3 separate regions of the Mus musculus genome follow, and all the other regions are reported to be linked to region 2. Evidence: microRNA targets listed by miRTarBase, many of them from high-throughput screens and not tested one by one. Region 2 holds a microRNA gene; each other region holds the end of a gene's coding sequence.
What was found. Region 2 holds the annotated microRNA mmu-miR-23b-3p (AUCACAUUGCCAGGGAUUACC, at 1,580-1,600, opposite strand). A microRNA usually pairs through its seed, bases 2 to 8, with sites in the 3' UTR of a target mRNA and lowers its output. Matches are read on the target gene's strand: a 7mer-m8 pairs with bases 2 to 8, a 7mer-A1 pairs with bases 2 to 7 and ends in A, and an 8mer does both.

Region 1: the mRNA of Nox4 is a reported target of mmu-miR-23b-3p. Seed matches in the 3' UTR shown: 7mer-A1 at 1,872-1,878.
Region 3: miRTarBase lists Celf1 as a target of mmu-miR-23b-3p. The part of its 3' UTR that is shown has no 7-base or 8-base seed match.

The regions. Positions count from the first base shown.
Region 1 is chr7:87,396,557-87,399,556 of GRCm38, forward strand. It overlaps Nox4 (NADPH oxidase 4), which reads left to right. Exons shown (of 18, transcript NM_015760.5): 18 at 215-2,154. The coding sequence ends at 335. Among named protein-coding and RNA genes, the nearest start is that of Tyr, 95 kb to the right of the region's middle.
Region 2 is chr13:63,297,468-63,302,128 of GRCm38, reverse strand. Mir23b (microRNA 23b) reads right to left here and starts at 1,645; the gene lies at 1,572-1,645. Aopep (aminopeptidase O) reads right to left here. Exons shown (of 16, transcript NM_001289926.1): 16 at 1-3,417. The coding sequence ends at 3,277. Mir27b (microRNA 27b) reads right to left here and starts at 1,417; the gene lies at 1,345-1,417. It overlaps Mir3074-1 (microRNA 3074-1), which reads left to right and starts at 846; the gene lies at 846-930. It also overlaps Mir24-1 and a transcript of Fancc not described here.
Region 3 is chr2:91,013,215-91,016,214 of GRCm38, reverse strand. Celf1 (CUGBP, Elav-like family member 1) reads right to left here. Exons shown (of 14, transcript NM_198683.2): 13 at 2,813-2,977. The coding sequence ends at 2,850. Among named protein-coding and RNA genes, the nearest start is that of Gm13777, 17 kb to the left of the region's middle.

The DNA of each region.
Region 1 (3,000 bases), not on the chromosome of region 2:
AACACACTGCATAATTTCTAGCAGCCAATTTATGCCCATAGTTACATTTTTTCCTGAATCCAACTATGAATATCATAATTGGAAAATGGTTTTAAGATGAAAAGGAACAAGAAATTAACTTTGCAAATACTTTAAACCCGTGCTCATACAGTAGGCTTCTTGTCCTGTTCTGCCAAATTTTGTACCTGATTTCCTACTTCTCTTCTCTTTCCAGGAAAACAGTTGGAGTTTTCTGCTGTGGACCCAGTTCTATTTCCAAGACTCTTCATAGTTTGAGTAACCGGAACAACTCATATGGGACAAAATTTGAATACAATAAAGAATCCTTCAGCTGAAACCTTAGGAGACTACTGGGGACTTTAAAGAGGAACAAGTGCAATTTCTAAGACTTAGAAACTCAGCTGAATCAAACAGCTGTGCTATGCCAAAGAATACCAAGGGTTTGCTATTTATGATTATTTAAAATGAGAATTCAGAAAATGTGGCAAAATGGCATGGTTAATCTGCGAGCCAAAGGGGCCCTGAAGAATATCTGATGTGGTGATTCACATTTTGATGAGCAAATTAAAAGAATGCCGTTAGACGCACGCTGTTGATTTTTATGGGAAATTCAAGAAGTCTCTTACAAGGAGCTGAACTCACTTACACTGAAGCTGATAGCTGCAGCCCTCTTTAAATTGTTTTCGGTTGAACACATTCAAGATTGAACAAAATTAAAAATTCATTGAAACTCAGACTCCATTTTCTAGGTTGTGCATAAGTGGAGTAGCTTTCATTTGGATAGGCTCCAGGCAAACACTGGGAGGTTGAAACTGTAGCACAAAACTTTGTATCGATACGGGTACTTCATATCTGCTGCTTCACTACTGACTCTCCTGCCTCGCTGCAGTGTTCCTAATCTATATGCTCACAAAGCTTATACCCATGTGGATGTAGTATCTACTTATGTTTGCATCTTATCCTCCGTCTAGGAAAATCTGCTCCCCCTTAGCCAATCTTGGACACAATTATTTAATAGAACTGTTTGATCACCGATTTGTTCAATTTAGTCCCATGGCTTAGTAATGAAAATGTGCTTTAAGCTTATCCTTAAAAACCAAAGAGCTTTGTATCTTGCACCAAACACAGAAGCACAAGACCTCTCTCCTTTGACTCACTTTGATTTCAGATAAGAGATGCTGAATTCATGGAGTGATACCCTGCTTTGCTTTCTACAAAAGTAGAACTTCTTCAGTATTTATTCAAATTTCAGTTTAGAATCACTAATATTATTTTTGCACTGTTTGATATCACGGTGAGTTACTAGATTTAAGTCCCCTGTTCATGTGATCCAATCAGTTTATCACCTATTTTTTAATATTCAGGAATCAGAAGGAAAATTTACTACCTTAAGAAAGAAGATATTCATACAGTTTATCAACTTAATTTGGTATATAATTATTAATGCTATCAAATAGGACACATTGCTGAAATTAGTACCTTAACTTATGCTTGGTAATCTTTTGTATATCACATGATTACAATAAATCCTGTTATTATTTGGATTTCATGTGATTCAGTACTAACAGACAAGCATACTAAAACATTTAGCATCAAATAACCACCTGTATATTTAGTTACACATATATTTTTTTTATCCTTGGAACACTTTCCTATCCCTCCTATGGGCAATGTGCAATGCTCATGTAGACTGAACTGTGGAGACATAAACTATGACATCATAGCAATGCTGTCTAGATTACAAAGAGTTTTCACAAAACACATACTACAAAAATAAAAATAAAAATAAACCTCATAAAAAAAAACTTGGGCTTGTCCAGGCTTGATGTGCAATACTGATTCCTTACCAATCATAACTTATTTTTATGCCTATGTGAATTCATCACATTTCAAAAATTCAGGTCAAACTTACAAAACAAGATGATATTTCAGACTTGTGTGCTATGTTGAGTGAACTTCCTTGCCTAATCTAAACTCCAGTGCATGTTCAAGGATCTATATGTTAAACATGGTATATTTTTGAACAGGAATAAATTAAAGCTTTATCACACATATAGAAGACAGCTTCATTTCTTTTTAGATTCTATGGTGGTGGTTACTGTTGTATAAATCTTAAATCACGAATTTTGATGGTAATAAATATTAAAATTAAAATGGTGTCTGTGGAATTTCTATAAGTTTACAGATAAATTAGTAATTCCAAGGAGAGGTGGTTGTTGGTTTGTGAAAAAAGAAAAATAATTGAAGGAGTACTGCCTAACTACACACTGGCATAATAATCTTGAGAATGTGCATTCTACAGCTGTTAATGTCATAGTCCAGTCATGTGAATGCGGCAAATTACTTCTCACACTGGCCATTAGATTTTGCCTTTGAGCCTGGTGAGGAATATAAAATAGTACTTACTTTCTCAATTGTTTTGAAACAAAGCCTCATATTGAATGAGTCATTCTCAAATTTGCTATGTAGCCAAAGATAGCCTTGCACTTTGTTTCCTTCTGTCTCTTGTTTCCCAAGTTTTAGAATTATAAATACACACATACCCAAATATTAATTATCTTATGTAATATATCTTTTTGAGAAAATAATGGAATTGTATGACATATAGCATACTGGATGTAATTTTGGGACACAAGAATTCTCAAATAGCAAGATCATATATTTAAGGGACTATAGAGGTCATAATTTCTACTATAGGTTTCTCTCCATGTATATTCCTTTTTCTTTAAGAAATTATTAGTTTTTAGGATGATACTATAAAATTCATTTTGTAGATAAAATCTAATTTATATGCCTCTAAGCAAAGAATTCAGTAAAACTTTAAACAAGTTTTTAAGTTGCTTCTCATTTAGGTAAAGGGAAGAGACTGTGGTTTTACATATATCTAAGACCAAAAACTCAGAATCTATATCTATATCTATATCTCTATATATATGCACATATATATGTGTGTGTATGTATATATATGTATATATGTGTGTGATATACATATATCATATG
Region 2 (4,661 bases):
GCAGCTAGTTTTTGCAATCACAGGAAGCAGGCAACCGGCTCTCCATCTGCCTAGGGGAGGGTGTCCTTCATTGAATGACTGCCTTAAAGTCACAGCTCAATTCCAGTGTGTAGACTCAGTCTCTCTAGGACTGGGAACAAAGGCAGCTGCCAGGTGCAACAGTTTATGAGGCTCCGCCTTTTATATATGCCACGGGAGCCCAGTCTCTGGAAGCCCAAGATGGACCAACCACTGCTGTGGGCTGATGGCCTTAGCAGCCACATAATCCTCCCTTTGATGTCCAGGGTCAGTGCAGTCCTGGCCCCACCAGGGCTAGGAGAAGGTATATGAGAATCTCACTGTGATCTGTCCTGTGGAGGAAACAGCAATAAAATTTATTACCCAGTCACCACAGCCATTCCAACAGGAGTCCTCCCAGCCTCTGACCTCCACTTGAGAGGGAACTTTTCATGGGAGGACAGGGGCAACACTGAAGCCACACCTCACAATCCTGGGTCTGGGGTGCACAGTCACGGCACAGGCCATGCAGGGCTGTGAAGCCCAGAGAGGTTCAGAAAGGCTCTACAGACAAGGCCCTTCAGACAGGCATTCTCACTGCTCAAGGCAGCGGTGACATGGTGTGCTCTGCCCCAACACGTGGCAAATGCTCAGCGCCTGCCCTACCTGCTTCTAGGGAATGCAAACTTTCCAAGGTTAGCTCTGCACTCTACAAATCCCCACCTCGGGAGCACATACAGAGGGATACCACTGCTGTTGGGTCTGGTACCAGACACTCAGGCCCTTCATCTTCTTCTCCGTGGGAGGCCTGCCTCAGGCACTTACAGATGGGTAGGCTTTTTGCTCAAGGGCTCGACTCCTGTTCCTGCTGAACTGAGCCAGTGTGTGAAATGAGAACTGATATCAGCTCAGTAGGCACCGGAGGGCGGGTCCAATCACAGCTGGGCAGTGCCTCCTGGCGTGCCCTGGGCATCATCTTGCCAGCGACTGTGGAGACATGGAGACCTGGACTGCAAATACAAGAAAGAGTTCACCACGCCCAGCAGGGACAAAGAACCACACCCCCACCCATCACGTGTGGCATCAGCTGAGACAAGGTTGGCTCAGTTTCCTTGATGCACCTGGGTTTAGTTTTCTGTGACTCCCAATACACTTGACATTACAGTGAACTAATTAGCAGTAGAACTGTATTTTCTGTAGACACACTTAAGGGTGGTCAGCACGCTGTTTGCACTCTTGACAACACAGCCTTGAGGCAGGCTGGTCTCTCCTCCTCTGGAGTGACCACCAGGCAGTGGCCTCTGCCTGGCAGCTGCAAGTTAACTGTCCCCATCTCACCTTCTCTTCAGGTGCAGAACTTAGCCACTGTGAACAAAGCGGAAACCAATCACTGTTCACCAATCAGCTAAGCTCTGCACCTTGTTAGAGAGGTCATCGCCGGCCATAATTAAAGGGCTGGTGAGCATCTTCGAAGGCTGTTGGCTTCTTTTGTTTCCAAAGAGCCACAAGGCGCCTCTGTTCTCCAAACTGCAGAGAGAAAGTAGCCACGGTTCTGCAGGAGCAGCCAAGGTCATGGTTGCGTGGTAATCCCTGGCAATGTGATTTTAATCTCAAGTCACAAATCAGCATGCCAGGAACCCAAGCAGCCAGAGCAGGTGAGGGCAGCACCATGCCCAACCACTCCCATCCACATGTGCTGAGTGTCCTCCAAACCGCCTCTGAGCCCACCACGCTAGCAGTGCAGCCTGCTGTCCTTCAGCGCGCTGGCTGCACTGTATAGAGGAGCATAGGGGACTGGGAGACAAAGGACACACTTATCAGCTATGAGACCAATACCTTAGGGACCATCCTTGCTCTGAGTATGTGGCCTTTAACCCTGGGACACACCCTGTTCTCCAATTGCAGACTGAATGGGTTGGGATGTCTCTGGGCCCCTCAGACAGCAGGTGTGGTGTGTAGGGAGGGAGCATCTCTCTGGCTTGCCTGTGACCAAGCATTTGGTTGGATAAGCTGAGGCATAGCACAGAGCTCATAGGGGACCTAGCAAGTTGAGGATTTGCTCACTCAGGGGGCAAAAATACTCTTAGAAGAGTCACTAGGACCACTATGTGACTATGGCTTTCCTAAGTGAAGGCCTAGGGACCTAAAAAGGGAACAGTGGCTTTACTGTGTGACCTTCACACACCACATACCAACAATCCCTCAGCTTACAAGTTTCTAGAGAAATGTCTGCAGGAGGCAGTGAAGAGGCGCCCCGACCGACTCTGTCTATCCACACAGGCCACCGTCCTAGCTTGTAGTGTGCAGGCTTAGCAGGCTGTACCTGCTTACTCCAGCCCACTATCTCCCCTGCTTGACTGTGGCGGTCCCCAGCTCTTCTGCAACAACATGGTCATACATAGTAACATGTTTTCCCTTCATCAGTGTAGTTCTTCAGAAAAATAAACATTACACAGAAGTGGGTTTTATAAAAGTGAAATGTGAAAATGTAAATTTAATGTCTGACAATGGGTTAAGATTAGCAACACAATTCTAAATATTCATTAATTGGTAATCATAGAGAACAACAGAGTAACACAGTGATTGATGTAAAATTTCAAACATATACAAAAGTAAACATCATATGTACCACCATGGCAAGCGATAATGTCCTGGGATGATGTAGAGATGATGACTGGCGACTATGAAAGAGACGCACTAGCCCACACCTGTCTCAGAACTCCACGCCCTGTGGCTGAACTGCATTACTGGTCCACAAGCTGGCTACAGAGGAGGCAAGTTACACCACAGCCAAGGACTCTGGGAGCCAGCGTAAATCCTGTTCCAGCACGAGATGGAAACAGACTTGCCTTTAGGACGCAAGTGTCACTTGGATGGAGGGGCAGAGAAGACCTGCTGCCTACTCTACAGGTCAGAGAACCAGAGGCCAAGGAGTCTCAGGTTTACACAGCCTCTAGGAGAGATGCCTGCATGCTGAAGCCTGGAGCAATGAGGCCATGGACCGCTGTGTTGACCTTGACCCTGGAGCCTGTGGACCTGTGCAAAATCCAGGGTGGCTAAAGCAGTGCCAGATCTGTTGCTCCTTCAGCTGTACCTGCTTCACACCCATGCTTCCAGCAGGTGAGGTGCTCCAGAGATCCTGAGCCTTCTTCCTGTTCCTGAGGACCCACCTTGCTGCTTCCTCCCCAAGACCGTTTGGCAGCCCTCTGGTGCTGTGGCTCATCATGTGGCTTACCAATTGACATGGATGGTTAGAAGAAAGAAAAGAGAATTACCTCTTTAGAACAGCATTTCAGTCACCACCTGGGCCGATGCTCTGTCCATGTGTTCCTTCACCAGCTCAAAGCACCTGTGGGCTAGCTGCTGCAGCCTGGCGTCCTCACTCACCATCAGCTCCCCATACAGGTATATGCCCATGGCCTGCAGACCGTGAAGGCCAGAGAAGAATGGGAAAGGGGTAAGAGGCTGCACATGTTTATGGGGACTTGTTTGTATTGCTTTACACAAGCTGGTCTAAAAGCACAAAGGACAGAGAGAGAGCCTGCTGCCGTGCAGGTGACCAACTGAAGCTTGCACCTTCTACTCTGTCTCCATTGTCCTTATCAACACTCTATGGAAGCTGAACATGGTAGCACAGGCCTTTAATCTCAGCACTGGGAGGAAGAATAGGACGATCTTTGTGAATTCAAGGCCAGCCTGGTCTACATAGCAAGTTCTAAGCCACACAGAGTCACACAATGACACCTTGTCTCAAAAAACAACAGAAATACAGAATTCTATTGATTCTGTCAACCGACTCCGGTGCCCGAGTAGCAAGCTATCCCAAGATGGCTATTGTCAGGAATACACTGGGCAGAGGCAGAGAGCTCTCAAAATGGTCACCATGGAAAACCTTGTCTGTCAGGCCAGTGCATCCTAAAGGGTAGCTGGCATGAGCTTGCTTACAAAGTCCATCACCTAACAGGCCACAGAGACCACATGGCCAGCAGTGCAGGCAGGGCAGATGCTGTCACTTTGGCCTAACCCAGCCACCAAATGTCAGACTCTTGGCTCTTCTGCTTTGAAAACAATGCTACAAAGGCTTGAATTCTCACTGAGCCAACATTAAAAAAGCAGCCAATTACATTCTGCAAGTTCTGCCCGCTTTCTTGTTCTATGGAGTTTCTCAAGGGTTACATTCTGCTTCAAATTCAAGTGTTTCAAAGGCAGCATAGGATAAAAACTCAGTGTCGGCTTCCAAAGAGCTTTCCTGCAGGGGCTGAGGCGTGGAGGTCCCTGTACAGCAGACAGCATGGCTATGCCAGTGAGCTGCTCTTAGCTCTGTTCCTGTCTGCTTTCTCAAACAATTCTTACTCCACTGTGCAAATGTGACATTTCTGCTGTAAAAAAGTCACATCCTTTGCTTTATGGGAAAAACCAGCCCTCACTTTGACTCTGTCAAAAGTCCTTTTGTCCACCACACCCCCACTTTCCATCCCATTCAAAGTGGCTCTAGCCCATCAGCCCACAGTATGCACACAGGCTAGCCAGAGGCGCCAGTTGGGGTTGGGAGTGGGACAGAGTATGGGGGAGGTCATGTGGAAACATGTCATGAGGTACAAAACATCAGAGGAGGTACCCTGAAGGATGACCCCAAAATGTGTCACAAACCAGAGAGGTGGCAC
Region 3 (3,000 bases), not on the chromosome of region 2:
GATAGAGGGCCAGAGTTTCTTGCTCAATCCTAGGATGGCCCACCCTTGTTCCCAGAAATCCAAGCCCTAAGGTTCCACATACGCCCTGGGCACTCTTGTGGAACCCAGGAGATAGTGGTTGGGCTGCACTGAAGGCAAATCAATGGCATGATATAATCCACGAAACAAAACTACAGCAGAAAACACTGTAAGTGAAACCTCCACACAACAGAAATGGACTGCTTAAGACGTCACTTCAGTCTCCACTCTAAGCTGAGCCCTTTCACATCAAGACTTATAGGGGAGCAGCTTCTTCAACAAAACCATCTTTGGCCTGGGGAGGGAACTGTGCTCGAGGACAGTGCTAGTGCTGTGCTAATGCACTGGGCAAACGGGATAATGGAAGTACATGGTCTCCCCAGCTGGCTAGCTGGCTAACTGAGCCAGCCATGGCTGACCATGGCTCTGCTGGGGCAAGTGCTCCTTTTAGAAATCACAAGTAGGTATGAAGTTTGGGGTCTGTTCCAAAGGTGGGGTCACTCCTTTGCTTCTAATATCATTAGGAAAGTTTCATTTGGTCCTGGAGCACAGGACAAATCTGTGGACAATGAAATGGGAGAGCTAGAGGGAACCAGAGGAGCAGGGAGAACGTGATGTTCTGGCCGAGGAGGAAGGCAGAACAGAAGGTTAGGGAGCACAGCACTGGCAGCTCCCTGTGGAGCACAGCTCTCGCCTCTGCCAATTCACAGCATTAATGTTAGCCTTCCCCTTGGACAGGTTACCTGGGCTGCAAACGGTCACAGAAAGTCAGTAGTTTCAATCATACACAGCACCCTGTGTGTACAACAATCACATTCTGGATTCTACAAAATCCTGGCCTTTTCCAGAGATATAATTTAGGTAATAAATATTCTCCACCCCGGAGCTGTATAAAACTTCTATAAAAATAGAAACAACATTCTTGGTTCCGGCCGGTTGGGATTCTGAGCAGTGCCTGCCCAACCTAGCATTTTTTTCTTTTTTTTCCTTTTAAAGTTTTTTATTTTTTATTTTTTTTGCATTATTTTAAAAAATTCCATCAATACCCTGGAAGCCTTTAGAACAGTTTTATCTTGAAACACAGGACACTTTTCTCCCAGTGCACAGAATTCAAGTTTACGTGGTTCAGCTTAAGAAGTGTATGTTTCATGTTTAAGAGGACAACAGACTCAACTTATCACTATAAGAGAACAGCTGTCCCAGCATCAATGGGATAACACACCACTAACAACTTCCTGTACAACAGCAAGATGGTCAATCCCTGTTTGTTATCCACAGGGACAGCATGACAAGGAGAGTCCCTATCTGACTTAAAGCAGGTTAGCCCCTTCTAATCTCTGCTGCTAGGAGTCAAGACTTGTAACTTATGAGGTTTAAGCTTCCAATGACCCAGGAACCCAGGCCCTGGCTGTGACTACTAATCATATATTTATAGGGCTACCTCTGCTCAGATGCACATTCCCACAGCTTCTCTTAGAGCAGGAGAGCCCAGAGGCTATGTGGGACACTGGCAAAGGCTGGAGTTAAGACCCATGAAAGGCAGCAGGGAGCTTACTGTAAGCATGATGACAAAATGAACATGGGTTAATACTGAGGTAAATGAACACTAAATCCATATGGAGCCTGTAAACGTCCTATACTTTCTTCTGTCTTCAAGGACAGAAAATGGGGCTAGAGGAGAGGCCTGCCAGACCTTATGGGAACACAGCTTTTGGAGTACCTTCATTAAGGAATCAGAAATGCACTTCTGAACCTTCTTGAATACTAGGCTCTGCTCAAATATAGCAAAGTGGCTTGAAGTGACCTTGATTCAGGCACACCAAGAAGCAGGTCTCTCTTCCCTTAATCAGATGGCTTCTTGACTGCTCTGCCCATGAACTGCACCCTTGTTGGCTAGAGATGCTGTTAAGAGTGTCTTATGTCCCCTCATGAGAAAACTGTGGCCAGAGAAGGAGGCAACATTCCTTGGTGTTATGAACTTCCATATACTTTCTACAAAAGAGACTACTGGAAATGGGTACATTCTAACTTCATGTTAAAATTAATGAAAATGACCTCTCTGGCTGCTTCCCCTAAACAGCCACCAACCAGGCAGGGCAATCAATATAACACGAATGTCGGGCTGGGCTGCCTAGTCATGGGTATCTCCCTCCTATTTGCATATTTCAGGCTAACTGAAAAGTGCATTATTTCATGAGACTTGCTTACCCCCTTTTAGGAAAGAAGGGCAGAAATCCAGGACAAAAATTAGAAAAATAGGTGGCATAAATTCAGCATTTCCACAGAAAGCAGCCAGTTCTAAGGGGTCTAGAAGCTAAGACACCTCACCCACTCACCCACCCCGTACCTCATTAGACTTAGTTCTCACTCTTTCCACACAGGGAGAGAGACTTCGGGGATCAACTTTCTGTTCTGCTCAGCCCTCTCTTTCCATGGTTTGGGGCATGTTCTAATTATCTTTTAAACCCATTTCCCTCTTCCTCAAGGTGGACTGGTGTTGGTCCTTCTCAACAAACTGGTTACAAACACAGCAAACTTTAAATAAAGGGAAAAAGAAACAAAACAAAACAAAACAAAACAAAACCCCTCAGGATATGGCACCTAAACTCCAAAGTAAAACACTGGAAACCAAAGCACAAACTTGTCCTCTGTACGAAGCGACACTCCCACAGAAGGCAGTAGCTGAGTCTTCAGGGCAAGCTGTGCCTGCGAGAGTGGCAGGGATCAGGGTCCAGGGCTGTTAACACACAGCCTTAGGGCTTCGAATGATTAAGGGTGCTCCTCCCCCACTTACCAGAAGATCTTCTCACTCCAGTCTCAGAGGGGAGCACTCAGTAGGGCTTACTATCATTCTTCGAACGTTTGAGCTGCACTTTAAGCCTCTTCATTCCAATTTGAAAGCCGTTCATGGACTGGATGGCAGCTTGAGCTGAGACAGGATTGTCATAACTTACAAAACCTGTGTGTTCAAGCAGAAACCTA